Linked DNA regions of Oryctolagus cuniculus. The protein of the gene in region 1 interacts with the protein of each later gene in a pairwise test. Links are inferred from orthologs where the notes say so. Each region holds a gene or a part of one and is shown in the gene's direction. Other genes may lie near its edges. The genes, in order: SDCBP; EIF5A2; cytochrome c oxidase subunit 4 isoform 1, mitochondrial-like; PYCR3; ANP32B; LDOC1; PTS.

Region 1 (3,934 bases):
CTACGAGAACCTTCACCTCTAAGTGCTTGAGAGCCTGGAAATTGAGCAACAGCTTGTCCAGCTCCTCGCGCTGCACTTAGCAGTACATACCTATTTTCATCTGCCACCCCAATGTCAGTGGTTGGCTTTCTGCGTATCAGGCAAGCGGACCCAGGTTTGGGGGTTCTATAGCAACTTCGGGGTTGTTCAGCAACATACCCTGCAGCTTTGCTACAGTTGTTTATTAGCTTGTGTGTATGAGTCAGTTCTTAGGAATTTTATCACAATCATGTTAAAAAAAAAAAGTGTTCCCTTCCCAAGCTACTGTGTGATTGTTTTTAAATGTTTTTCACATCAGCTAAACTATAAGCTCCCCAAGGGCAACTTTATTACAGGTCATCACTTCTGTGCCCAGATTTTTATTAGTTACCAATAAACTTCTTGTAAATTAATGATATTTTGTCAAGGGCTCTGGTATTTCAAAGTAACTGATTACTCTGCAATGGGTCGTTGGTACCTATCTTACAGTTCGATGTAAAGATTAAATAAGATTATATACATTAAGTTCTTGGAATAATGCCTAGCTCATAGCACTCAAGAAACGCTAGTTTTTAAGTTTTTGTGTTAGGCTACAGCTATCATTGCACAATATTACACCTCTTTAACAACAAACGTTAAAAGTAATAAAAGCCCAAACAAAAAACCCAGATAAATGGGGCAGGAGTTAAGAAAGGGTCTTGGGAGGAGTTTACCAGCAGGGTACTGTGACTGCTGGACAGCAGTGACGGAAGCCGGAAGCTGGGCAAGGAAAACCTTCCAAGAGGAAGGCTGGCTTCTCGGTACCTCTTTGTATTAGAAGCCAACCAGGTGACCGCAGGCGGGGGAACGCACGCAGTGAGCGGGTCCCGAGGTCTCCTTGAGCATAAGGCGACGGGACCGCAGAGGGCAGACTGGGCATCCTCGCTGGGCAGTCTGGCGCCCCCGACGGTGGGCGGTGCGGGCGGCCAGACGTTTGTGACCCTTGGAACCCCAGAAGAGAGCCCCCCACGCTCCGCCCCCGTTTCCATGGCCCCGCCCCACCCCCCGCCATCCGGTTTCCACGGGGACCGGATCACCTGACCCGGCGCCGTGCGCCTGCGCGGGCCCGAGGCCCCGTGGGGGGGGGGGCGGTGCCGTGACGCGCCTGGCGGGCGGTCCTCGGGCGCGCGCCGCTCTCGTTTTCTCGGGTCTCGGAAGTCGGCATCAGTGATCGAGGCGGCGGCGGCGGCGGCGGCGAGCGAGTCCTTGTGGTCTAGGTGAGCAGCTTTTGGGAACGAGGGGGAGACGTCCGCGCGACACCTCGGGCTCGGGGGACAAGGGACGTGGACCGCTCGGGCCACTTAACGGAAAGCGCCCCCGTCACAGCGGTTTTCGGGAGGCGGCGGAGGCAGGACGCCCGCTCTTCGGGGGGCTTGCGCGTCCTTCCCTGCCCCCAGCTGGGCCTGAGGAGGGAAGTTTCGGGAGCGGCGCGCTCCGTCGGAGTCGGGGTCCCGCCGGACCGCGGGTGGGGTGGACGGAACCCCGAGGCCCCCGCTCTTGGCGGCGCCCGCAGCCCCGCGCGGCTCTGGGCTCTCTTTCCGGGACGGGTTTCTGGACCCTTGTTGTTCCTCGAGAGAGGGGCTCCGGAGGTGGGTGAAGAAGGAGCCGCTGGGCACGGAGCCTCCCGGTGCTCGGCGTTCCTGGGGCTGTACTCAGTCACCTTCCTCGGTGGCTCGCCAGGAACGCCCGGGCTCCGGGAGGGGAGAGGGCGGTGTTTGTTCCGCGGGCGAAGCCTTGACTTTGTGGAGGGGGTGGGGAAGCGGTCGCGGCTCCGCGCCGGGTGCTGGAGAAGTTGGAGCCGAGGGAAGAACGTTTCCAGTGGGGTGTGTTCGGAAGGAAACACGCGTATTTCCTTTGAGATCTGGTGACTCAGAGCTTTCGTTTCGGGATTTCCTTGGAATAATGGGGAAGTGCAGGCAGTGTGGATATGGAAACTTTTTCCTTTCACCGCGCTGGGATTACGGAATCATTAGCGTCTTCTGTTGTGTGATTTTTGAAAGGACCTTCTAGGGTTACCTGGTTTGACTGTATTCTATGCTTAAAAATTTACCAGGTTTTTTTTTCTTTTTCTTCCCGTTAAGGACGTTACTTAGAAAGTACATTCAGTTTACCAAATTCTTAAACATCCATTTGTTTTAAAGAGAAAACTGTTGGATTAAAAAGGGAAAGTCGAAACGCAGCTGCAGGCCTTCTAATTAGATTGATTTCTAAAAGTCTGTGTGATCAATGAGAACTCAAATTTGTCTAATCTGGTCAGTTTCCTATTTTGAAGTTTAGTGCAAATAGAAAAAAAAATTGTTTTCACCTAATCTGTTACTCAGCTCTGTAAACTTTAGTGCCTTAAAGGGTACATAAACCAAGTGGTTTGGGTTACAGAATAAACAAAAGGAAATGACGTTTAAAAAGTTAAGTGAATGGTCACCTCATCCTAGTTCAAATTTAACTCTGGCAACATTAATTTTAGTTGTTTTGGGTATTATAAGAAACTATAAAAATCAGGAACGAAGGGGAAATAATTTGCTGATGGTTGACACTTGAATGTACTTAAAACAGTTCTTTGAAATGAAGAGTTACTCAACTATTTGTTTTTCCTGTTTTTTTGAGTTTGGGGAACTTTTTAAAGGTAAATGCCAAAAGACTGTGAAAAGACTCCCCCAAGCAACTTTGAAAGAGTTCCTACACCTGATAGTTATATTGTCATTTATTTCTTTCCAAGTGCTGCCAACTTTTTTTTTTTTAATTTATTTCCTCGTTGAGGAGGTAGGCAGTCACTGACTCAGGACTGCCACAGTTAAAACAGTATCCGGTTTAAAAATCTCCTGTTTGTGTCGTCTAGCCAACCGTATTACTTTATGATAGGCTGTCCGCTGTTTTCAGTTTCTTGGATTTCGTCCAGAGATTTTATTCCTGTGCAGGCGAATGTCCAAATATATTTCTTTCCTTTCAATGAGCCAATTAAAATACTTTATATACTGCTGTACATCATGCATTTATTTTCCAATCAAAGTATTTTGGAACTCTTAGTTTTGTGCATGTTGCTTCCTTTGTGCAAATGTATATTTAGGCTGAAGACTTGAAGTTATATGACCGGGTGGGAGGGAATCTGAATTTATAATTTTCATAGATACCGGGCACCCATTGTTCATGAAAATTGTGTGTTTTTTTTTTTACACTCCCCAAACTGGTGATGCATAGGTGTTTCTCAAAGCCTTGCATCAGCAAGTGTTGTTAAACTGGGTTTTTGCTAGTCCTGTAAGTCAGAATGGGAACTTCCTGTGGCTGGATTGCTCAATGGCTGATCTGCAGAATCCCCCTGGATATTTGTTAAAAAGAAGAGTTCTTAAGTCCATTCCATGAAATCTGTGTCAGCCTGGGAAGCTATTTTTAACTAATGCCCCAGGTGATTCTAATCTGATGATTGGCCAAGTTTGGGAAACAGTCTCTGGAAGATTGTTTAGGGCTTTATCAAGTATTGCTTCTCTGCCTTTTGGCCAAGTGTAGGACTTCGTTAACTGTGTTCCTCAATACCAATGGGAACTATACTGAATCTTACCCTCAGCATGCTAGAAATCATCATCATCACTTTTTACCGTCTAAGGCCAGTGAACACGTTTTACATTTTTATGCCATTTCATGAATTTGTCTAAGTGAAAGGAGATAATACTGTTTTAGAAATTTTGATAATTTAATTGTAAAAATGTTAAATTTTCTTGGTTTTGAAGATAAATGGACAGCATTTTTTTTTAATTATTTATTTGAGAGGTAGAGTTACAGACTGAGAGGGAGAGACAGAGAGAAAGGTCTTCCATACACTGGTTCACTCCCGGAATGGCCGCAATGGCTGGAGCTGAGCTGATCGGAAGCCAGGAGCCAGAGC
Region 2 (3,500 bases), on another chromosome or scaffold:
GAGGGAGGGGGAGGAAGGATAGGGAGAGAAGTGCCACTATATTCCTAAAATGGTATAAAGGAAATATATGAAACTTACCTAACTTAGGTAAAATATATTTCTTTTAATTTAAAAAAATTTACTATTTTATCTCAACCTCCTTGCTCCTCCCTCCTCTACCCACCACCTCACAAATGTTTGAGTGACTAAGAGGTGAATTAACAGTGACTGCTGTTGCTCTGAATGATTGTTTTTGTGTTTTGTTTTGTTTTGTTTAGATTTTAGCCATGTGCAAAAACTCAAATCTGCGGTGGCTGGAGTGTTCATGGAAAACCATAGGCAGATTTGGTAGATGGTGTACATAGAGGAGAGTGTGGAACTCTAGAAACTATCCCAATAGGATGCCTGGGTTATTTCATGGGCTAATTGGGGTCAAGGACCATGTCTTTGACTCCCCTTAAGTATGTTAGCCCCTGGTATTCTGGACACCTGCATTTTATAAAACCTTCCAGAATCCTTGGCATACTGATAGTGGATGTGCTTTTAGAATACATGTTTTCCATTCCTATAATAAAAGAAATTCAGTTATATCAAAATTGTACTTACGCACAGTATAGATTGATGACTAGGGTTTGTTTCATTAATGTATCAGTAACTAGGTGTTTGGTTTTGGTTTTCTTAAAAAAAAAAAAAAAACTATCGTAAGCAACAAGCTAGAAAACAAAAATTTTCCACTTAACTGTTTATAATCAAATTATAAGATGCATTGTTAGTAATAATGAAAAATTGAAAAAATATTCATATGCCTATTAATGGGAAATGATTAATTCAATTACGGTATAGTCATGCAATTGTTTATTCATTTTACAGGAATGTAGTTGTGTGGTGGTTTTCTAATTTTGAAAGATTTCTAAGATGTACTATTAAGTGAAAATAGCTTACTAAAAAATACTCGTGCTGTCCCATTTTTTTCCAAAAGTAGCCATATGTATATTGTGCACATAAAAGTAAATGCTTTAGAATACACCATGAAGAAACCTAAACTGTTTAATAATACAGAGATTGAGCCTGGGAAGGGAGGAGTGAGTACAGTGAATGGTGTACTTAATACTTGGGTTCTGTGTGTATTTTATACTCTTTTATTTTTAGCATTTTTATACACCAAGAATATATTACTGTATATTACTCTGTACTTATACAAATTAGTGTTGACTGCAATTTAATCGTGCCAGCCTTACAAAGGAATGGGTATAGTCTAATCAGTGCAAATGCTATGATGTCTTCTAACAGCTGATATGCATTCAGGATGGTTACCTTTCCCTGCTGACAGAAACTGGTGAAGTTCGTGAGGATCTTAAACTGCCAGAAGGTGAACTAGGCAAAGAAATAGAAGGCAAATACAATGCAGGCGAAGATGTACAGGTAAAGACCTAGGAGAAAATTGTTTTAATCCGTTTTATAAAAACTGAAAAAAAAAAAACTGTCCTAACTAGTAAGCAGAAAATACCAAATACAAATGCCATTTAAAAATCCTGCCAAGTGTTTAAAATTTTTATCTCTATAAGGTGATTTTTCCAAGATACCCTTAGAGACCCATTACCAAAGAAAGTATCAAAGTTCATTTTTGCTGTATAGCCTATGTCAATCCCCAGTTTGTTTTGAAGATCTGCATCTGAGCTATAAGAAAGCAAACTGGGGGAGTGCTAGCAAGTGAGAGATTTACTTTGTCTTTGCTGCATCTTTCAGAAGTATAGCATCTAGTAAGTGCTGAGGTACAGCTCTCACTCTCCCTGTTCCCTAGATGTTGTTTTACAGCTGAAGTTTGAAAACTTCTACTTTAGAAAACTGTCAAGAAGGTAGATTGTTTTCAAATAACTTTTCCAAAATCAGTACACACGAAATATCCACAAGTACACATTATATGAGGAACTAAATAGATCTCTATATATTGATTTCTGAATAACTTTTTGCCTGCAATTTTTTTCTTCTAGGTGTCTGTCATGTGTGCAATGAGTGAAGAATATGCTGTAGCCATAAAGCCGTGCAAATAAAGAGGGGGGACATCAGGCCTGAGCGTACTGTTTAGGTCTGGGTCAGCTCCAGATCTAAAGTCTGATTCTAAGTTGTCACCAAAGCTATGGCCTTCATAAGCCACCTCATTTTTTTTTATTGTTTTGACATTGTGCTGGGTTAGTTTAGTAAGCAATTGGCAATTTAAGAAAATAATCAAGATGTATAATTCTTTAGTCTTAACTTTGTAGGTGTCTTTCCTATAATGTTCCTGTGGTTTTCAGTTTGTGAATCCAAGAAACAGACAAGGTAGCTTCAGCAGATGTGATTTGTATGAGAAAATCATTTCTGCATTTTAGTTAATGCAAAATAAACCAGGGTTGTAAATCAATGTAACATATAGTGATATTACAATACCACATTAAGGTGAATTGCTCGGCATTAATTTCAAGCTTAATAGTAAAGAATCCATGTAAAAGTGAATTGAAATTATCACAGTTTCAACCTCTGGCAAAAAAATCTTTAAGCAAAAACCATGTTATCAAAAAGTACAGGTATCTTGGTGGCCATGTGCAATCACATGTATTCGCTCAGTCATACTGTTCTTTGCCAAATGGTTGGCAAATTTGAAATAACCATATATGGTGGTTTTAGTACCTTCTTGTGGTTAACATGGGCATTAAATTGTTGGGTGAATACACAGCGACTTCATAAAGTTCGTGGAAAGTGGAATTAAAAGGTAAGTTTATTTTCCTGTAAAAAAAATTTCAAATCAAAAGATCATGAAAAATATGTATTATGATAAAACTATGCATAGGATTTCAAAAATTTTTGCACCAAAACAGCCTTCCATTTTCCACAAACTTTTTGAAGTGTCCACTTATGAGCATGTCAGACTGTAAAGAAGACAAAAAGGACAGTGGCAAAGGGGTTTGATTAAAGCTATAGGTTTTTATTTGAAGCCTTTGTAATCAGCATAGTAAAACAAAGTTGTTTTTAGTTATGGTTTTACTTTTAACTTTTGTAGCACCACCTGCAACCCTACATTTAAAGTGGTGACCCGTGTTTACAAGATACTGTGCAGCACTTTCTTTTAACCTTGTTAATTAGAGTTGCCATTTATCAGCAATTACTGCTTACCAACCACTTTTCATTAGATGTTTTAACATTAAAATATTTGTTAGACAAAAACTGGAAATCCTTATTTAACTTGATTTGGGATATTTGTTAAATGCATATATATTTCTCTGAACTGAAATGAAAATGAATCATGGAAGAAATTTACTTGATGTGCAAAAATTATTTTAAACATGTTTGTTTTCTGATTGGTCATATGACTTAATTCAATTACTAGTATGAAATACAACTAGGAAAGAATTAAGCGAACTGAATTATGTTAAAGGGTGTTTTAGGTGACAGCCTGATTTTCTCTGTAATCTTCTGGGTCACATGTGTGTTATTTCCAGACATTTAGGCATTGTTAGAGAGTTTGTGAGGATCATTGACTCAGT
Region 3 (2,517 bases), on another chromosome or scaffold:
AACATGTTGTTTAGCTTATCTTATTTTTAATTTTATTTCATATTAATTTATGCATTTTCTCTTCTATTACTTAACATTTTACTTGAAAGTATGCCTTTATGATTTATGCATGTTTTATGCAGACCTGCCTCCTCTTTTCACTGCTATATAGTATTTCATTGCAGGGTATATCACAGTACATTTCTCATATTCCTGATTTGTAACTCAAGCGTTTCCAGGGTTCTGCTACTACAAATAACACTGCTATGAATAATCACATAAATTTCACTGAGGGCTCCTATGCAAGAGCTCTTTCAGTTCAGATGGAGTTAAATAACTTTCACAGAGGGTGTACAAACATGTAAATGAGTATCTCCATTACTTTCCAAATTGTTTGTGTCAATAAATAAACCTTTAAAAAATTATCACCATATGCTTACCAACTGTAATATTATTAGCCTTTTTAATTTTGTCAGTAAAGTAGTCTACATGCTGTATCATTGGAGTTAATTTTGTGTTCCATAATTTTTGCTTATGTTGAATATCTTTTATATAATGGATATTTACTTTCTCTTTTTGTGAAGTTCATTTATCTACTATTTTTTCATTGTGTTGTTTGTCTTTTTTTTTTTTTTTGACAGGTGGAGTAGACAGTGAGAGAGAGAGAGAGAGAGAGAGAGAGAGAGAGGTCTTCCTTTGCCGTTGGTTCACCCTCCAATGGCCGCCGCGGCTGGCGCACTGCAGCCGGCGCACCACACTGATCCGATGGCAGGAGCCAGGTACTTCTCCTGGTCTCCCATGGGGTGCAGGGCCCAAGGACCTGGGCCATCCTCCACTGCACTCCCTGGCCACAACAGAGAGCTGGCCTGGAAGAGGGGTAACCGGAACAGAATCCGGCGCCCCTACCGGGACTAGAACCCGGTGTGCCGGCACCGAAAGGTGGAGGATTAGCCTAGTGAGCCGCGGCACCGGCCTGTGTTGTTTGTCTTTTTATAATTCATTATGTTCATATTTTGTGGTTTGTCTTTTCATTTTCTTTGTGGTATCTTTTAGTGGTCAGTCACTTTCAATTTTAGTAAACTAAATGTTTTTTAAAATTTACTTATTTAAGGCCGGCACTGTGGCTCACTAGGCTAATCCTCCGCCTTGCGGCGCCGGCACACCGGGTTTTAGTCCTGGTAGGGGCGCTGGATTCTGTCCCGGTTGCTCCTCTTCCAGTCCAGCTCTCTGCTGTGGCCCAGGAGTGGAGGATGGCCCAAGTCCTTGGGCCCTGCACCTGCATGGGAGACCAGGAGAAGTACCTGGCTCCTGGCTTCGGATGAATCAGCACAGTGCGCCGGCCGCAGCGTGCCGGCCGCGGTGGCCATTGGAGGGTGAACCAACGGCAAAGGAAGACCTTTCTCTCTGCCTCTCTCTCTATCACTGTCCACTCTGCCTGTCGCGGCAGGCAGGGGTCGACGGTACCGGCAGGATGTTGGCCACTAGGGTGCTGAGCCTCGTCGGCAGGTGGGCGATTTCCACCTCAGTGTGCGTGCGGGCGCACGGGAGCGTTGTGAAGAGCGAGGACTACGCTCTCCCAAGCTACGTGGACTGGCGTGACTACCCCCTGCCCGACATGGCGCATGTGAAGCAGCTGTCTGCCAGCCAGAAGGCCCCGAAGGAGAAGGAGAAGGCCCCCTGGAGCAGCCTCACCAGGGACGAGAAGGTCGAGTTGTATCACATTCAGTTCAACGAGAGCTTCACTGAGATGAACTGGGGCACGAATGAGTGGAAGACGGTGGTGGGCACGGCCCTGTTCTTCATCGGCTTCACTGCCCTCATCCTGATCTGGGAGAAGCACTACGTGTACGGCCCCATCCCGCACACCTTCGACAAGGAGTGGGTGGAAGAAGTAGAGCTCGCTGCCGCAGAACACTCGCAGCGCTGCGCACGCACAGGAAACCCACGTCAGACAGCGCCAGTCCTAATAAACGACCCGTGTCCCCGAGGTCCTCTTGGACGAGAACTAAATGCAAGCGTCTGTTATTTAAAACAATAGATGTCTCCCAGGCGTCCGAAGTAAACATATACTGTCAAAAAAATTTACTTATTTATTTAAAAGGCAGAGATACAGAGAGAAGAAATGAGAGAAATCTTCCATCCTCTGGGTCACTCTCCAAATGGCTGCAATGGCCGGGGCTGGGCCAGGCTGAAGCCAGGAGCCAGGAGCTTCATCCAGTCTTCCTTGTGGGTGGAGTGGCCCAAGTACTTAGGCCATCATCCACTGCATTCCCAGGCATATTAGCAGGGAGTGAGATTGGAAGCTCAGCAGCCTGGACCAGAACCCATACCCTTGTGGGATGCTGGAACTGCAGGTGGAGACTTAGCCTTTTTTTTTTTTTTTTTTTTGACAGGCAGAGTGGGCAGTGAGAGAGAGAGAGAGAGAGAGAGAGAAAGGTCTTCCTTTTGCCGTTGCTTAACCCTCCAATGGCCGCCGCAGCTGCACTGCGGCCAGTGCACCGCGCTAATCTGACGGCAGGAACCAGGTACTTCTCCTGG
Region 4 (4,245 bases), about 84 Mb from region 1:
GGCCAGGGACAGCTGGGACAGGAGCGGAGCTGCCCACAGCCAGGGGCGGTGGGGACAGGAGCGGAGCTGCTCACTGCCAGGGACGGCTGGGACAGGAGCGGAGCTGCCCACTGCCAGGGCGGCTGGCATTGGGCCACTGGGTCCTGTCCCCACAGCTGTGACTGGTGGCCCTTATCTGTTTCATTTCACCGAAGGCAGCCGGCTCCTGTCCTCCACTGTGACACGGGGCTGGGTGCTACAGGTCCCTGCCGTGTCCCTCAGTCCTTGTCCCAGGGCATCGCAGTCCCAGGAAGCCAGGAGAGCAGGGACAGAGGGGGCAGCAGGGACGGCTGCAGGTGGGCAGGGCGACCTCACACTGGCACAAAGCATCCAGACCACAGTTCCCTGGGGGGGTCAGCCCGTGGCCCCACCCATCCCATCTCCTAGAAAACCAAGCCCACTGCTTCCATCGCCCTCTAACTGGGTGCTCGGGCTGCAGCCCTGGAGGGTCCCAGTGTCCTGCTGTCCCTCCCGGCCATGTCACTGCAGCCTCTGCCCCACTCTCCCGTCCCCACTCAAACGCTGGTTCCCAGGGACCCTCTCCCTGGGCCTGGTCTGCTGCCCACCTGCCAGGAGCGTGACCCCGGCTGTCAGAGCTTCTGCCCACCTCCCTTAGCTGTCGACCTCCGAGAGTCGGTGTGAACGCGGGGAGAGGCGCAGAGCCAGACCAGAGCAGCAGGGAGGGCCAGCACTGTGGGCCCAGCTGTCCAGCATCTGCACCTTCCGGCTGCAGTGACCGGAGCAGCCTCCCAGTCCCCATCGCTCCCTCCCCGGCATTGTTTGCTCTCGAATCTTGGTGAGACTGGCATGTCACGTGTGTTGGTGCCCACGCGAGCCTCTGCGTGGATGGGTGTGTGTGCGCCCAGGAGTGCCTGTGTGGGTGTGCCTCTGTGGATGCGTGCATGCGCACACGCGTGCCTCTTCGTGGGTGCGTGTGCGTGCGTGTTGGCTGCGGAGGGACTGTTGCCACAGCCCAGTGGACCGCGGCGTGAGGGACAGGTGCACCCGTCCGGCCGCTGCCTTGCGGTTCGGAAGGGATGCGGGGGTGGGGCTCGCCGGTGCGGAGCGCGGCGGACGTCATGGGGCTCAGAGACCACAGAACGCCTTCGCCGCCTCAGCCCGGGTGGCGGGTGAGACCCCCACAACCCGAGATGTGCTGAGGCACGCAGACGCCCGCCCCGGGCTCGCCCAGCGCTCCTGCGCCCCAGGGCAGCGGGGAGGCCCCGGCTCCGGGAGCCGGCTGACGCGGGCGCTCGGGGCTCCCGGGTCTGCGCGCGCGGGCCTTTCACCAGCTCCGAGCGGGTGGCCCTTCCTGGAAGCCCAGTCGCCCGGACCCACCCACCGGCGGCGGAGAGCGCCCTGCTCCGCGACGCCCCGCCCCTCCCCGCCCCCCGCGGCGCTCAGCCAATGGGTGGATGCGGCTCTCCGGCGACCTCGGCCAATGAGCCGCGGGGGACGGGCCCAGTGCCGGCAGCGGCGATGGCGGCGGAGGCGGCTCCGCGGCGCGTGGGCTTTGTGGGCGCCGGCCGCATGGCGGAGGCCATCGCGCGGGGCCTCATCCGAGCAGGTAGCGGGCTCGGGGCGGGAGGGCGCCCGCGGGTCCCCTCCGGACCGCGCTCCCGGGCGCACAGCCGGCTGTCCGCGGCCACGCGGGCTGGCGTGCGGAGTGCGGCGCTCCCGGGTTCTGTAGACCTAGGACTGGGGAGAGGGGCGGGGAGGGAGGGGAGGGGAGAGGAGGGGAGAGGCAGGCCGAGGACGTGGCTCGCTTCCGCACCGTGCCTGGACGTGCTGTCACGTAGAGCGCTCTTAGGTTAGCTCCATCCGTCTCCTCCGCTTTTGGAAGTGCGGTTACGTGGGCGGCTCCTGGAGACGGTGCTGGCCCGCGTGGCCCGCTTCCTGGCCTCACGGCCTGGGTGAGGTTCACCCTCCTGAGCCCCAGGCTGGTTTTTCCGTCTGTGCGCCCTCAGTCCTGTGGACGTCTGCGGCCCTAGGGTGTTGGGCATCCCCGGCGGCTGTCTGTCGGGAGATGCGGACAGCCAGGTGTCTCCTGGGCGGGGGGAGGGGGCATCGCCCGCGCACCCTCCCAGAGCTTGGAAAGCTGCACCTGCCACGCGGGCACCGGGAGGGGCGACCTTTGCCTTTCTGCCCTCGTCAGCCAGAGCTCATGGTGCAGAGGAGTGGGGAGCAGCCGGGAGAGCGCCCAGCAGGTCTCGGGGATCACCTGCCTCCCCGGCTCCACGGGCTCCGGGAGCCGCTGTCACAGATGTTGAGCCCAAGCGGCCACCCTGATGCCCGGCTGTGTCCAGGGGCTGATGGGCTGTCTTCCTGTTCAGCCCGGTCTCCCCAGCTCCCTGCCACGTGGCCATCCCAGCACCACCACCCCCTTCCAGGGAAGCTTGGCCCCAGTGAGCCTTCTGTGGTCAGGTGCCTTCAGAACCAGGACAACTCCCTGGCCTGGTGCTCCCTTTGGGCCACCGTACTGTGCTGCCCTCCCCACTGCCCCGGCCAGTAAGCCCCTGGGGTCCGTGTGCTCACTGGACAGGCCAAGCTCCTGGCCCCTATGTCCAGCAGCAGGCAGGGGGCGGTGGCTGCCCCATGAAATCAGTGCACCTGCTGTGTCGCCCCAGGCGGGCGGGACATCACCCAGTCTCTAGGGGCCAGGGCTGGGCGGGGCGGGGGGAGCAGACTCCTCCCACCCTCTCACCGCCCCCTCTGCCTTCTCCATTCTCTCCAGGGAAGGTGGAAGCGCAGCATGTGATGGCCAGCGCACCGACAGACAGGAACCTCTGCCACTTCCGGGTGAGTGGACGAGTGTGGGGAGCAACCTGGACTAGACTAAGTTACTCGAATTAAGACTTATTCTATGCACCTGCTCTCCCACAATATGGCGCTGGGAGAGGAGAAAACAGCTTCTACCCAGCTGCCTCCAGTTCAACCAATAAACAGTAGGACTTGCTCCTGATTGGAGGAGAGCAGCGTACTCGGCGTGTGGGCAGCCGAGTTGGGATTGGTGGAAGAGGACTATAAAGGAGGAGAGAGACAACATGCACCAGGAACATCTAAGGGGAACACCTGAGGAACACCTGAGCAGCCCCCGAGAAGCCCCCGAGAGAGCTGGCCGGCGGTGTGCCGCTCCCCTGCGGAAGTGGGGAATGTGGCAGGGGGAACCGCCCTTCCACGGAGGTGGAAGGGATAGTAGCCAACCCGGGAAGAACCAGCAGCAAACCCGGGGAGGGCCGAGCAGACGAAAGAACAGCGCAGGGTTCTGTGTCGTTCCTCCACGAAGAGGGGGAGCGACATAATGGTGCCGTGACTCGGATAGGAAGCCTAGGCAGGGCTTAGTGTCGTTCCTCCATGAAGAGGGGGAGCGACATAGTGGTGCCGTGACTCGGATAGGAAACCCAGGACGGATAGGAAACTTAGGACGGATAGGATACCTAAGAGGGAAGAAACGGGAAGAAGTGGAAAATGCCAGAGAGAGAGACTAGCAAACAGCCTAGGGAAAAGCCGGACGAAAAAGGTGCCAGAAGAAGCTATTGAAAGCCTAGGCATAGACTCGGATACGGACTGTGGGAAAGAAGTTAGGATTTAAAGTGAAAGCAAGAAGAAACTTAGACTCAGATACGGACTGCAGGTTGAAAGTGAAAGTGAAACCTATAAGAAACTTAGACTTGGATACGGACTGTGGGGAGAGGCCAGGAGAAATGAGGGAGGAATATTGTTGGAAGAAAACTTAGGGAAACATACCGGGTAGAGAAAAATGTTAGGGAGGATGAAGCCGCAAGTGCAGGCCAAGGTGGAAACGGAAGCCATCTTGGAATTCTTCAAGTCAGCCCGGGGAGCAAGAGGCGAAAATCTGGAACCAGAGGCAGAGACGTGGGCCGCCAGGTTGGAATTCGCCAGGTTAGTCCGGGGAACTTGGACTGAATGCCGATGGTGGCGGAAACATTCGCGGAAGCCGCCGCGTGCAGAGAGAGCACGGGGCGTGAATAGATAGGGAACGCGGGGCTGGCGTGAGGCCGTGGTGCAGGCGCGAAGTGCGTGGAGACTGCGGAGCGTGCGCGCAGAGCCGGGAACCCGCCGGTGGGGCGAGGCGCCGGGAAGCCGCGCAGAGCCGTGAAGCTGCCGCGGGGCGAGGTGCCGAGAAGCAGCCTCGGGGCGGGCGCCGCCGGGAAGCCGCGGGGATAAGAGAAACAGAAGTTTAGA
Region 5 (4,169 bases), on another chromosome or scaffold:
GCTTGCGGTTCCTGGGCCTCGCTTCTCCATCGGTGACATGATGAAAGGGTCACCTGCCTGACAGGGTTGTCAGGGGATAACACGAGAAAGAACGTAGCAAGCCCCTAAAGGTGCATGCTTGGTAGCTGCCTGTAATTTTTTGATAAAAGCCCTCATTGCCTGGTTCCCAATGACAGGTCCCCAGGTGCCTTCCCGAGGAGCACACCCCTCTCCACTTTCCCTCTCCACGGCTGTGTGGCTGAGACTACAAGGAGAGGAGGAAACTCCCAACTGGGAAGATTCGCCTCTTTCCGTAATCCTTCTAAAACGTCCTCTTGAAATGAGAATTCATTATCATAAAAACTGATATGTAATTGCTTCAAAACTAAGTTTGGGCTATTTATAGTCTGCCACTTGGGTAAAACCACGGGGGAAGGGGCTTCAGTCCCATAAAACTATCTCAGTTAATGCATGGAGTTTTTTCTGTAAAAAACTGCCTCTTGTCCACACTAGAAATAAGAAGGTATCCGACTGCACATACCATGCTGTTTATTTACTTTCTGCTGAGTATAACTCTACGGCCCGGACCTGGGGCTCTAACCGTGGGACCCCTGGAGCCGGAGCATGACAAAGGCGGCCTGACAGGCGTCACCAAAATGGATACCACCGAGACTCGGCGTGCCTCACGGGGGGCCCTAGGTTGTAACTGCGCTAGACGTGAGCGGGGAGAACGGTGTAACTGCGAGGCCCCCCCCACCCCCCACGCCGCCCCGCGGAAATGCTCATTGTTTCCTTCGGAAGTCCTCTCGGGCATCAAAATGTCAGAAAAGCGAGGGAGAGCCTCCGCGGCGGGGGGACGCTCGGCGGCTCTGAGGCTGAGGCAGGCGGCCGGGCCCGGGGCCAACTCCGCCCGCTGCCACGCGCTGCAGCTCGGGCCCGCCGCGATGCCGCCCACCCCTGGGTCCTGGGCTGCGCGTCCGACGCCACCCGGCCCAGGAGGCGCCAGGGTTCGGGCCGTCGGCCCCCGATTGTGCAGGGGGAGGGGGTGGAACGGAAGGGCGACCCCCAGGCCCCCGCGCCGAGTTCTCTGCCCATCTCGCGCCTCCGCGGGCGTCGGGGGAGCCTCCGCGGACCGACTCGCCCCTCGCGACCCCCGATCCCCGACAGGAGGGCCTCCCGCCAGCCCTGCCCCACCCCATCGCAGAGCACAGCGAGGCGGGCCGGGGGTCTCGGCCCGGCGGCAGGCGGAGAAGCCCCCGAGCAAGGTCTTACATCAGCCGCCCCACGTGCAGGCGGAGGGAGGGAGGAAGTCGCTCCCCTCCCCGGGGCTGCGCCTCCCCCCGCCCCCGCCCCGCCCTCCCGCCGCGCCTCCCCGCCCCGTCCTCGGAGCAGCCGCGGCCGCGGAGCCGAGCGGCGCCGCGCGGGGCCGAGTGGAGCCGAGCAGCCGCCGCGCCGCGTCGCCGGTTTAAGCGCAGTGCGAGGCCGCGGCCGGGGGCGGCGGTAGTGAGAGCAGCGCTGCGCTCCAGCCCCCTTTTCCCTCCATGGTTTCTCTCCGCTCCCGTGAGTAACTTGGCTCCGGGGGCTCCGCTCGCCTTGCCCGCACGCCGCACGCCGCCTGGGACCGCGCCGCCGGCCTCCGCCGCGAGCAGACCCCCTTCCGACGGCCTTCGCTGCGCAGGCCGGGACGCCTCTCCCCCCTCCGCCCCCGCCGCGGAAAGTTAAGTTTGAAGAGGGGGGAAGAGGGGAACATGGACATGAAGAGGAGGATCCACCTGGAGCTGAGGAACCGGACCCCGGCAGCTGTAAGCAGAGCCCCCGTCGGGCGCCCTTTCCCCCCCGATGACTTGCATGTAATGGTGGCCACCTGCGGGGGCCCCGGGCCGCGGGTTCGCGGGCTCCGGCGCGGGGAAGGGCGCAGCTCGCGGGCTGGGACGGGGAAGGCGGGCGGGCGGGCGGGCGCGGGCGGAGGGGGGGAGCGAGCGCGCGGGGATTAACTCTTTGGCGCCCGCGGGCCCTCGCGGCCGCCCGGGGAAGGCGACGGGGTGAGGGAGCGCAAACTTTGAGCTCCTCGCCCGCCGGGGTCCTCTCCCGGAGGGAGCGCGTGTGCGTGTGGCCGGCGGCGAGAGAAGGAGGCGGGGGGTTGTGTAACGCTGGGAGCCATGTTTGCAGCCTCCCGGGATGCGCGGCCGGGCGGAGGCGGGCCTGCCCGGGAGCCGCGCGGCCATCCCCGGCTGGGCCCGCCGCCGGCCACGCCGGACTCCGCACGCCCCGGGCCGGCCCCGGGAGCGGGAGCCGGCGGCGGGCAGGGCGGGGGGCTGCGCCGGCCGGGCCTCGCGGTTGGCGTCGGCCCGGCCGAGGGCAGGGGCCGCGGGGGCGAGCAAGGGGGCTCTGCTCCTTTGAAGGGGGCCAGAAGCCCCCTCGGGCGCTGGGGGGCCCGGGCGGGCGCGGCCTGGCGCGCGGAGCGGGGGAGGGGCGGGCCTGGGCGGCGGAGGTGGCGCAACCGCCGCCCCTCCCGAGGCCAAGTTTGAAAAAAGGACGCGGTTCCCGCCATTTTTCAAGCCTAAAAATAAAACTTTCTCCCCCATTGCCCTCGCTCTCCTTTGAGACGCCCTCAGCCATCCTCCCTGCGGCCCCCTCAGGGCGGGCCACGGGCAGGCGTTGTGGCGGCGGCCGGGCCCTCCCCACCCCCGCCGTCGCAGTCGCAGTCGCCGCCGCGGAGCCCGGGGGCCCCTGCCCCGGGAGGCTGGCCCCTCGGTGTGGGCGGGCGGCGGCCGCTCGCGCCAGCCCGGGCGCGCCACAGGCCGCCACAGCGCCATGTTGGCGGGCGCCCGTCTCCCTCCGCCGCGTGAGGCGGCCGGCCGAGCGGCTCGGAGCTCCGGCGCGGCCCGCTCGCCCTCGCCCGCCGCGCTTTCCCGGGCCGAGCCTTCGGTGTGTCCCGTCCCGCCGGGGCTCGGCTCGCACTGGCGGTCGCCGCGCGCTACGGCTGCAGCCGACTCGTCCCCTCGCGGGCGCGCTGCCGGCGCCCTCCCCCCTTCTTAAAAGGGCAACGGCAGGCCTGGCGCGCGGGCGTTCGCGCGGTCTTGGGGCCGGCGCAGGGCCGTGCGGTGGCCTGTGCCCCCGCACGTGCCAGGGTGCGGCCTGCCGCGGCCGGCCTCGGGCCGCTGCTGCGTGTGCGTGGGCCCGGCCCGGGAGCGTCGCCTCTTGTATCGCAGCGAGCGCGAGCCCCCGCGTGGAGAGGCGGCGCGCGGCCGCCCGAGCCCGCGGCGGGTGAGTCGCTGGCGGCAGGAGGCCGCGTGGCGGGTGCTCAGGTGGCTGTGGTTAGCAAGTTGCACACTTGGTGGGATCGGCCGACCGGGCTGTTTACCTGCAGGCCTTGAGGTCAGCGGGCGCGCGTGGTGGCGCCCTGAAACCCCGAGTTGGGTGGGTGGCCTTTTGGCGGGTGTCGGGGTCGAGTCAGACATTTTGTGCCCGCCACGTGCTGCGTGTTGCGTGGTTAGACACCTTGAAGAGCTCGTTCTCACCTGGAGGGCTTAACGCCAGAGTTTCCATTATTGCTTGGAAGTTGGGAATCAATACAGTATCTAAATTTAGCCAAAATTCCCCCTAAGAAAGGTGCACACATAGGTCTTTTTTTTTTTTTTTCTTTTTTTCTGCCAGACAGTGAGAGAGACAGAGACAGAGAGAAAGGCCTTCCTTCCGTTGGTTCACCCCCCAAATGGCCGCTACAGCCGGCGCTGCGCCGATCCAAAGCCAGGAGCCAGATGCTTCCTCCTGGTCTCCCATGCAGGTGCAGGGGCCCAAACACTTGGGCCATCCTCCACTGCCTTCTGGGGCCACAGCAGAGAGCCGGACTGGAAGAGAAGCAACCGGGACTCGAACCCGGGGTGCCAGCGCCGCAGGCAGAGGATTAGCCAAGTGAGCCGCGGCACCAGCCCAGACATAGGTCTTTAAAATCTAAATTTCTGGATTCTCAAACCAAAAGCCTGCTAAAACGCTCGGAGCAAGTAGTTTTCTCTGCTAAATAAGTGCCACTGCTGTTCCCAGTCCATGGTGCCCTTTCTCATATGGAGCAGTATAGCTTTAAAAATATGTGTGTGTGAAAGTATTAGTTTTTTCAAGTAATCAGTTTAGTTTTTGACCACCTTGCCAAGATGCGTGTGACTATTAAAGTTTTAATTAGGCCAGTCGTT
Region 6 (3,470 bases), on another chromosome or scaffold:
TGTAAAGAGTGAATGAGATTACTTTAAAAAATAATTTTGTTATTTGTATTATGACTGATTTCATCATCAGAGCTGCACTACATAATTTGAAGAATCCTTTTGGACACTTTGTGCAGCCACCATTTCTAGTTTTCATCTCAACATTTGCATTTTGAGATGCTATCATTCACCAAACATTAATGGAGACCTTTCTCTGGGCCAGGCTGGCTTCTAGGCACTAGAGATAAAGCAGCTAGCAAACAAAGCCTCTCTCTGCACCAACTTACATTCTACAGTGGAGGCAGATGATGAACAAAGTGCTCTACAATGTGCTGGCCAGGATTATGATGATAAATGTTCTGTATTGAAACATATAAGGTAAGGGGTTAGAGACTGGGTGGCACAGAACAGGGCGCTCTGAGAACCGGAGTGCTCAGGAAAGTTCTGTAGGAATGTAAGGGGAGGAGCCAGGCCTCTAACTGGGAAGAGCTTTGCAATTCAGAGGGATAAAAAGTACAAAGGCCTTGAGGCTGGAATTAGCTGATATGTGTAAGAATCAGCAGGGGGTGGGGTGTGATTAGAGCAGAACTGGGAATGGGAGACCTAGGAGAGTAGGCAGGGCCTTCCTTATAGGGCATGGTCAAGACTTTGTTTTTTATTCTAAGTGACAGGGGAAACTATTGGAGGGTTTTGAGCCAGGGAGGGAAGGGATCTGACTTCTGCGCTAAAGGATTCCCACAGCTACTCTATAGAGAACAGAGTGTAGGAAGAGAAGAAAGCAAGCTAAAAGTGATTGCTTTTAGCGGTCTGGCAATGGTAGAAGTGACAAAGAGGGCTGCATTCGTTGTCAAAAACTATTTGAATATTCACATTCAAATAGAAAAAAACATTAAAGAGCACAAATGTCTTCATGGTTTCCTCATTGTTAAGAATAACAACCATTGCCACAGGCTCTGATATCAGGACGTGAAACAGAGCCACACAGGGAGGTCACCTTAAGCGCTTATCAGATGGTGACTTTGCAGAACTTGTTATAAGCCTCTATTCAGAATTTTTTCAACACTTAGTAATGGTTTCTAAATAAAAGTCCCTGTTCAAATACCGCTTTGCGACGAAAGCCCGGACCCCTTAAGAGTCTTTATGACTCTGAAAGGATCGGTGATTGCAGCAGGGCAGTCAGCAGCGTCAGTACTTCTCTAGGGGAGGTTTGAAAAGGCGATTAATCCTATCAACAAAACATCGCACCCAAGAAACTGGCGTTTGCAGACCCGCGAAACAGTGAATTGTGCGAGTCGGCTGTCTGCGACATGGCGCTCAGTGCCCGCCAGGCCCTAGGCTAACGCAGGCCTCACATCCGGGGCTCGGCCCCATTTCACAGCCTTTACCAGTTCTCCTAGCGAGCCAGCACTTGTCTGCTCTCCGCGACACTGCGCGACCCTGCGCTTCCCTCCCCGGCCACTCCCTCCCTGGTCTCAAGTCCCCTCCAACGGTTCGCGGCAGCCAGGCCACGCCCCCACTGCGTCCTGGCCTCTTCCCCGGCCCCGCCCGCACCTTGCTGCGCCGGCGCGCCGCCTGCCTGAGTGGCCTCGGGGGCGGAGCTTGCGCAGCCGCCGGGACCCCACGCTCGCCGTCCCCCGCCCCTGGCCACAGCACTTTATAGGACACGCACTTCCTGCAAGGCCTCTTGTGTGCATCTTGGCCCAGCGGAGCCTACTCGAGCGAGCCCAGACCTTTCAAGCTGTTCGAGATGGTGGACGAGCTTGTGTTACTGCTGCACGCACTGCTGGTGAGGCACCGCGCCCTGAGCATCGAGAACAGCCAGCTCATGGAACAGCTGCGGCTGCTGGTTTGCGAGAGGGCCAGCCTGCTGCGCCAGGTACGTCCGCCGAGCTGCCCGGTGCCCTTCCCTGAAACGTTTAACGGCGAGAGCTCCCGGCTCCCCGAGTTTATTGTGCAGACGGCGTCTTACATGCTCGTGAACGAGAACCGGTTCTGCAACGACGCCATGAAGGTGGCATTCCTAATCAGCCTCCTGACCGGGGAAGCCGAGGAGTGGGTGGTGCCCTACATCGAGATGGATAGCCCCATCCTAGGCGATTACCGGGCCTTCCTGGATGAGATGAAGCAGTGTTTCGGCTGGGATGATGACGAAGACGACGACGACGACTATGAAGAGGATGATTACTAGGCCCCGAGCCGCTGGGGGCCTATGAGGGGAGAGCCCTGCACGCAGCCACTTCTCCCTCTCCTCCACCCCCACCCCATCCCACCCGACCTCCGGAGCTGCTGCACTCCCCTTGCCTTCCTGTTCTCCCCTCCCCAACCCCCGAAGTGCTTGTCTTTGTTCCAGGAGTAGTGCTCCAGCTACCTGCTGCTGGGGCTGGGCAGGGGCCTCACCCTGAAGCCGGTCATCTGATTTGCCTAGCCCCAGGACCTCTCCCCACCTCATCTGAACTGTGTCATAAGCCCCAGTTATAGGCCAGGCCCCTGTTACAAACTGCTCAGATCACACTGCTGCTGCCACCTGCCTCGCTGCCAGGCCTACACCTGCACAGAGACTCATGCTACCACTGCGCCATCGCCCACTGCAAGCCTCTGACAGATCATCGCTTTTAGAGACAAGGACCAACACAGAAGACTTCTGACTTGGCTACACCTTTTCGGACATTGATTTGGACAGCTCATCGGCCCCTCAAGGGGCTGTTTTTCAACCTGGTTAGTTCCCTACCTACTCCTAGGGTCCTCTACCCAGCCTGAGTGCTGCGGGGACCTGGTGTGCCTGGCAACCAAATTGTTGATGTCTCTTTTCTCTAATGCACAACTGTCGTTTTTCTTTCATAATTGCAGCAGCCCCACCAATGTGTGTGGTTGAACATATGTTTCTAAAAACAAAACAAACAAAAAGCAAAAACGCACTAAGCTCAGCTCCTCAATACTACCTGGAAAAAAAAAGTTGGCATTATTTTCAATAAATATCAAGCACTACAAAAAGTGAGAAATGATTGTCTTTTAATGGTTAAGTGCTATCACTGGCATCTGCCATGCTCACACTGACTCCTGCTATTCCCATTGATGTCCAATTCAATCCCAGTGGTCCCTATTGTCATCTCTAGGCTACAGAGGACAGTTTCCACGGGGCTTTAAAAATATTCCAATGCTTCCCTTACCAAGGCATAGCTTAAAGCCCAAACGGAATGTCTTCTGGGGCCTCCAGGGTGGCATGGGTAAGGGGTGGCTGAGCATGTGGCTCATCATCCCAAACCAGGACACTTTTGAGAGTAAAAGGGGATGCTATTACTAATCATGGTGACACAGCAAGCGTATAAACCTGGACACATGCATGAAGGGGCTTCATGAAGTCCATGGGAAAATGGAACTAAAATAATGTACATTTTCAGTGAACTTTGTGAAGCCCCCAGTGTGAGCCCTGCTTGTCTTTTGGGTTCCTTAACACTGTCAGGGAAGCTCTGTCCCTTAACCCTTATTGCCTG
Region 7 (4,077 bases), on another chromosome or scaffold:
CCTGTGCAAATACCCTACGGATTCCATGGCACCTTCATACCCATCTGATGGGATAACCACAAGAACCAGATTTAAAATCAGTACGCTTTGTACAAAAGAGAGAAAAAAGGGCATCATAACCTTCCAAACCGTTTGATTTTTACATTACTATTAAAAACAGAATTCATGAGACGACTATGGTTTTATCTTTTCTTGAGGCTTTTCCTTGAAATCATTAAGCAAATGTTGATACAACCTGTTGACAGAGTATCAATGTACACTTATTGGCTATATCTTTCTTTAGATAATAGTAAGTATGCATAAAGAGAAACTAAAACTGGGTCATTGCCACCATCAGACTGTAAGGTAACAGGTCCTGGGAGAGCACAAGCAATTTCAGACTTGGAGTACTGGTCTCATAGACATCTTCTCCTTTCCATTACAGCCATCTTTACCCCTGGAGGCTTCTAAACTGGCTGTTTACAGCAGACACTACTGTAACTGCACCAAGCTCCTGCAGACCACCCACAGCCACTCCCCCTTCCCCAGCTCAGCCTTGAGTGGAGGCTGTTTTGAGGGATATCACTAATCAGGCATTTTGTCTTCAGGTGTGTAGCTCTTCAGGGACTGATGAAAAGCCAGTAATTGGGCAACAGGTGGCACTAGAGACCACATAATCTCTATATTTCTAAACCTCACCAGTTTTCACCAATAGCCAGAAGCAGCTACCTTCAGCTGCCACTTAAACCACACTCCTGCCCACACCCTCAAAATCCTTTGTTCCCTTTCCTTTCAGTAACACCCTTGCCTCCTGACTGAACTCCAACCCTGCACCAGTTGATAACCCTATTTCCAAATAAAGTTACATTCTCAGGTACTTCGGGTTAGGACTTCAGCATAGGAATTTTTCTTAGGGGGACACAGTTCAATCCATAACCCATAAATGATCAGTGATGACCAGAGAGTGAAATTGGTGAGTATCTTTAAATAGGATTACCTTTAATAAGACAACTTAGCATAAGAACTCTGCATATGCAATGAAATATTTTAGTAGGAGACTAAGCAACTTCTTAGAAATATCTTCTGTCCTTTCACCTTCTGATTCTTTAAACTGTTTTTGGAATGAGAAATGTTTGTGTAACAATGGTTTCTAGACAATATTTATCTAATATAATCAATTCTTGGGAAATATTGTTTCTATTCTGAGTGACCCTGGATAAATAATTCGTGGGCCTGTGTTTTCTTATCTATTAAGTGAGAGGAATGAAGTAGTATCTATCTCAACAATCTATAAAAGTTTATAACTCTATTTATTTATTTGAAAGGCAGGCTTACAGAGGGAGAGAGGCAGAGACAGAGAGAGATATCTTCCAACTGCCGGTTCACTCCCGAAATGGCCACAATGGCCAGAGCTGGGCCATATCGAAACCAGGAGCTTTATCCAGTTCTCCCACGTGGGTGCAGGGGCCCAAGGACTTGGACCATCTTCTGCTGATTTCCCAGGCATATTAGCAAGGAGCTGGATCAGAAGTGGAGCAGCCGGGACTTGAACTGGTGCCTATGTGGAATACCAGTGCTGCAGGCCGTGGATTAACCTGAACCATAGTGCTGGCCCCAGGTTTATAATTGTTTAAAGGTCTTTTTAAAAATAACCCAATGAGGGACATGAGACAAATACTTGAAAATGTTTGTCTACATGACATTAATAATTTAATGCACAACAAACAATATGAGGGTACTTTAAAAGTTTGTGGAAAAATAGAATTAAAAGATAATTGGTAGAAAAAATTTTCAAATTCATGCTTTTCTTTTTTTCATTTTCATAATCTCCATTTTCTATTAACTTTTGAAGACCCTGTGTGTGTAGCTAGAGATAGGAAACAATTCAGAGAAATCACCAGTGAATTGTCTTGGCCCTGCCTTCTGCAAAGTTCTTGAAGAAGATAAGCAAACAATAGTCCTGCTAGCATTCCGCGCTTTGAGATCAGAGCCATTTAGATGTAGTCCCCACTTCACTCATACAACACTTACTAGCTTTGTGCTCGCTCCTTTGTCTCAGAAGGCTGGCTTCTATTAAGAGTCGCTATAAAGTTCCCAGATGGACATGTGCTGGCAAGGTAGCCCCCATATCCCTCACTTTCCAGTCCTTATATTTCTACCACTCCCATGATTTTATTTTCCTTTTCTTAATGCACAAGAAACGACTTATCCTGCTCTTCATTTGATTTTTTTTTTTTTTTTTGTCATGGACAATGCCAAGTTCTCCTCCCCAGGGCCTGCTGCAGTGCTAGCCACATGGTAGGTGTGTAATAAATACTTAATCAAAGAATGAATGGAAGCAAGAGGGGACACGTTGTGAACCTTCTTTGTGAGTAGATGTGAGGAAACGGGATCTTCTCCTTCCAGGGTGTCTTCACTGGCCAGAGAGATGCTTACACGTGTTGATGGTTGCGTGTTCACACTATACCAACCCACAGGGATACCTGGGGTCCATGCACACTGGGGGATGGTGAGGACGGCTTTAGGAGTCCCCTTAGTTGGACTCAGTACCAGTCCAACGAGAGGGAACGCCACGTGGTCCTACGGGCGCTCTCAAATTCCTGCCCCTTTTATGCTGTAAGTAGACGGTGGTCCTAGGATGCACCTGGTAAGAACAGGCAGTGTCCGGAGTCTTCCATTTTAACTGAGCCAAGGCTTTCCAGGAGCGGGAGAGGAAGTTCAACGAGGTCACTCGAGGACCCACCGCGTACCCACGGCGGCCCTAACCGCATGGCGTGGTCTCAGGACACCAAGTCCCCACCCACGCTGTCTGCGCGCTCCAAGGTTTGCCTAACTCATCGAACTCCCGCTACTCGGAGAGAGCGAGCGCGCGCGCGCGAGGGACGCGGCCAGGCGGGCGGAGAACTCCCCAGGCCGGGATTGGCTGCAGCCCAAACCGGGGCGCGCTTCCGGAGACAGCACGAGCCCGCACTGCGCAGCCGCAGAGGGAAGCGGCGCCGGCTGAGGGCGTGGGCCTGGAAGACCATGAGCACGGCGGGCTCGGGCGGTCGCCGCTGGGCGCGGGTGTCCCGCTTGGTCTCCTTCAGCGCGAGCCACCGGCTGCACAGGTGGGGAGGGCCCCACAGGTGGCCAGAGGCGGGCACTGGTCCCTCCGGAGAGCGTTCTGGGGGCGGGGCCGGGAGGCGTGCCTACGTGCGCGCGCCCGAGACCTTGGGTGGGGCCGCGCCGACCGCGGGGTGGCCGCTCAGTGACGTGGCCCGGCGCTAGAGCAGACCGAGGGGTCTGCTGGGTAACCGGGCCGGTTGACTAGGGGGGCGCCCTGGGTTCTGGAGCCGGGGGCTTTAGTGCCTCTCTCAGAGGGCGGCCGTGAAGTTCAGCGAGTTAACCTCGCCCAGATCACCCTGTACTTGACAAGTTGGCCAAAATATGTCATGAGCACAGCTACTGTGCGTCGAGGAGAATTAATTACACGGCACGTTTGACCAGATTTAATATGAGCTTATATATTCAGTTTCCTAAACCTGCAGCGCAGTTGAGATTTGAACCCTAGGCAAGTTTGATTTTATTTTCATTTTGTTTGAAACACACACACAGCACGAGCAAGGGAGCCCCTTCCATCCGCTGGTTCACTCCTCAAATGTCTGCAACAGCCAGGGCTGAGCCAGGACCCAGGAGCCAGGATCCAGGAGCCAGGCCCTCCACCCCTGGACCCAACGTTCCTGTGGGGACCTAAGGACTTGCATCACCTGCTGCCTCCAGAGCGTGCATTAGCAGGAAGCTGAATGGAAAGCAGAGGAGTCGATGATACGGGATGTGTCCCCCCCCCCCCCCCCTTACTTAAGAGTTGAGGAGAGTTTTAGTGCTCACTAGCAAGCTCCACTTTCAGCCCCCATTTTTCTTGTCTGAGAAATTAGGATAATTATTTCTGTCATTTCTTTTTTAAAAGATTTATTTGAAAGGTAGAGTTAGAGAGAGAGAGCGTGAGAGATAGCGAGCACCTCCATGGGCTGGTTCCCTCCCCAAATAGCCACAACAGCTGGAGCAAGGCCGATCCGAAGTCAGGAGCCACGAGCTGAAAGCTTCTTCCGGTCTCCCATG

Evidence for each region.
Region 2: the proteins of SDCBP (region 1) and EIF5A2 interact in binary tests that used the Homo sapiens proteins (3 or more experiments, as listed by UniProt). The two-hybrid records come from large-scale screens. The link is inferred for Oryctolagus cuniculus from reciprocal best matches to the Homo sapiens genes SDCBP and EIF5A2.
Region 3: the proteins of SDCBP (region 1) and cytochrome c oxidase subunit 4 isoform 1, mitochondrial-like interact in binary tests that used the Homo sapiens proteins (3 or more experiments, as listed by UniProt). The two-hybrid records come from large-scale screens. The link is inferred for Oryctolagus cuniculus from reciprocal best matches to the Homo sapiens genes SDCBP and COX4I1.
Region 4: the proteins of SDCBP (region 1) and PYCR3 interact in binary tests that used the Homo sapiens proteins (3 or more experiments, as listed by UniProt). The two-hybrid records come from large-scale screens. The link is inferred for Oryctolagus cuniculus from reciprocal best matches to the Homo sapiens genes SDCBP and PYCR3.
Region 5: the proteins of SDCBP (region 1) and ANP32B interact in binary tests that used the Homo sapiens proteins (3 or more experiments, as listed by UniProt). The two-hybrid records come from large-scale screens. The link is inferred for Oryctolagus cuniculus from reciprocal best matches to the Homo sapiens genes SDCBP and ANP32B.
Region 6: the proteins of SDCBP (region 1) and LDOC1 interact in binary tests that used the Homo sapiens proteins (3 or more experiments, as listed by UniProt). The two-hybrid records come from large-scale screens. The link is inferred for Oryctolagus cuniculus from reciprocal best matches to the Homo sapiens genes SDCBP and LDOC1.
Region 7: the proteins of SDCBP (region 1) and PTS interact in binary tests that used the Homo sapiens proteins (3 or more experiments, as listed by UniProt). The two-hybrid records come from large-scale screens. The link is inferred for Oryctolagus cuniculus from reciprocal best matches to the Homo sapiens genes SDCBP and PTS.

The regions. Positions count from the first base shown.
Region 1 is NC_091437.1:83,752,945-83,756,878, forward strand, and holds the start of SDCBP (syntenin-1), read left to right. Parts: upstream 1-1,134; 5' UTR 1,135-1,274; intron 1,275-3,934. Other genes in the region: uncharacterized protein, read right to left, coding at 732-1,069. UniProt on the Homo sapiens protein: Multifunctional adapter protein involved in diverse array of functions including trafficking of transmembrane proteins, neuro and immunomodulation, exosome biogenesis, and tumorigenesis.
Region 2 is NC_091435.1:109,418,971-109,422,470, forward strand, and holds part of EIF5A2 (eukaryotic translation initiation factor 5A-2), read left to right. Parts: intron 1-1,269; coding exon 1,270-1,401; intron 1,402-1,970; coding exon 1,971-2,030; 3' UTR 2,031-3,500. UniProt on the Homo sapiens protein: Translation factor that promotes translation elongation and termination, particularly upon ribosome stalling at specific amino acid sequence contexts.
Region 3 is NC_091434.1:149,299,163-149,301,679, reverse strand, and holds cytochrome c oxidase subunit 4 isoform 1, mitochondrial-like, read left to right. Parts: upstream 1-1,435; 5' UTR 1,436-1,450; coding exon 1,451-2,017; downstream 2,018-2,517. UniProt on the Homo sapiens protein: Component of the cytochrome c oxidase, the last enzyme in the mitochondrial electron transport chain which drives oxidative phosphorylation.
Region 4 is NC_091437.1:167,534,439-167,538,683, reverse strand, and holds the start of PYCR3 (pyrroline-5-carboxylate reductase 3), read left to right. Parts: upstream 1-1,445; 5' UTR 1,446-1,446; coding exon 1,447-1,606; intron 1,607-2,773; coding exon 2,774-2,838; intron 2,839-4,245.
Region 5 is NC_091432.1:201,785,877-201,790,045, forward strand, and holds the start of ANP32B (acidic leucine-rich nuclear phosphoprotein 32 family member B), read left to right. Parts: upstream 1-1,369; 5' UTR 1,370-1,727; coding exon 1,728-1,781; intron 1,782-4,169. UniProt on the Homo sapiens protein: Multifunctional protein that is involved in the regulation of many processes including cell proliferation, apoptosis, cell cycle progression or transcription.
Region 6 is NC_091453.1:119,608,529-119,611,998, forward strand, and holds LDOC1 (protein LDOC1), read left to right. Parts: upstream 1-1,362; 5' UTR 1,363-1,726; coding exon 1,727-2,167; 3' UTR 2,168-2,970; downstream 2,971-3,470. UniProt on the Homo sapiens protein: May have an important role in the development and/or progression of some cancers.
Region 7 is NC_091432.1:104,171,589-104,175,665, forward strand, and holds the start of PTS (6-pyruvoyl tetrahydrobiopterin synthase), read left to right. Parts: upstream 1-1,277; 5' UTR 1,278-2,748; coding exon 2,749-3,086; intron 3,087-4,077. Other genes in the region: BCO2 (carotenoid-cleaving dioxygenase, mitochondrial), read left to right, coding at 1-48. UniProt on the Homo sapiens protein: Involved in the biosynthesis of tetrahydrobiopterin, an essential cofactor of aromatic amino acid hydroxylases. Catalyzes the transformation of 7,8-dihydroneopterin triphosphate into 6-pyruvoyl tetrahydropterin.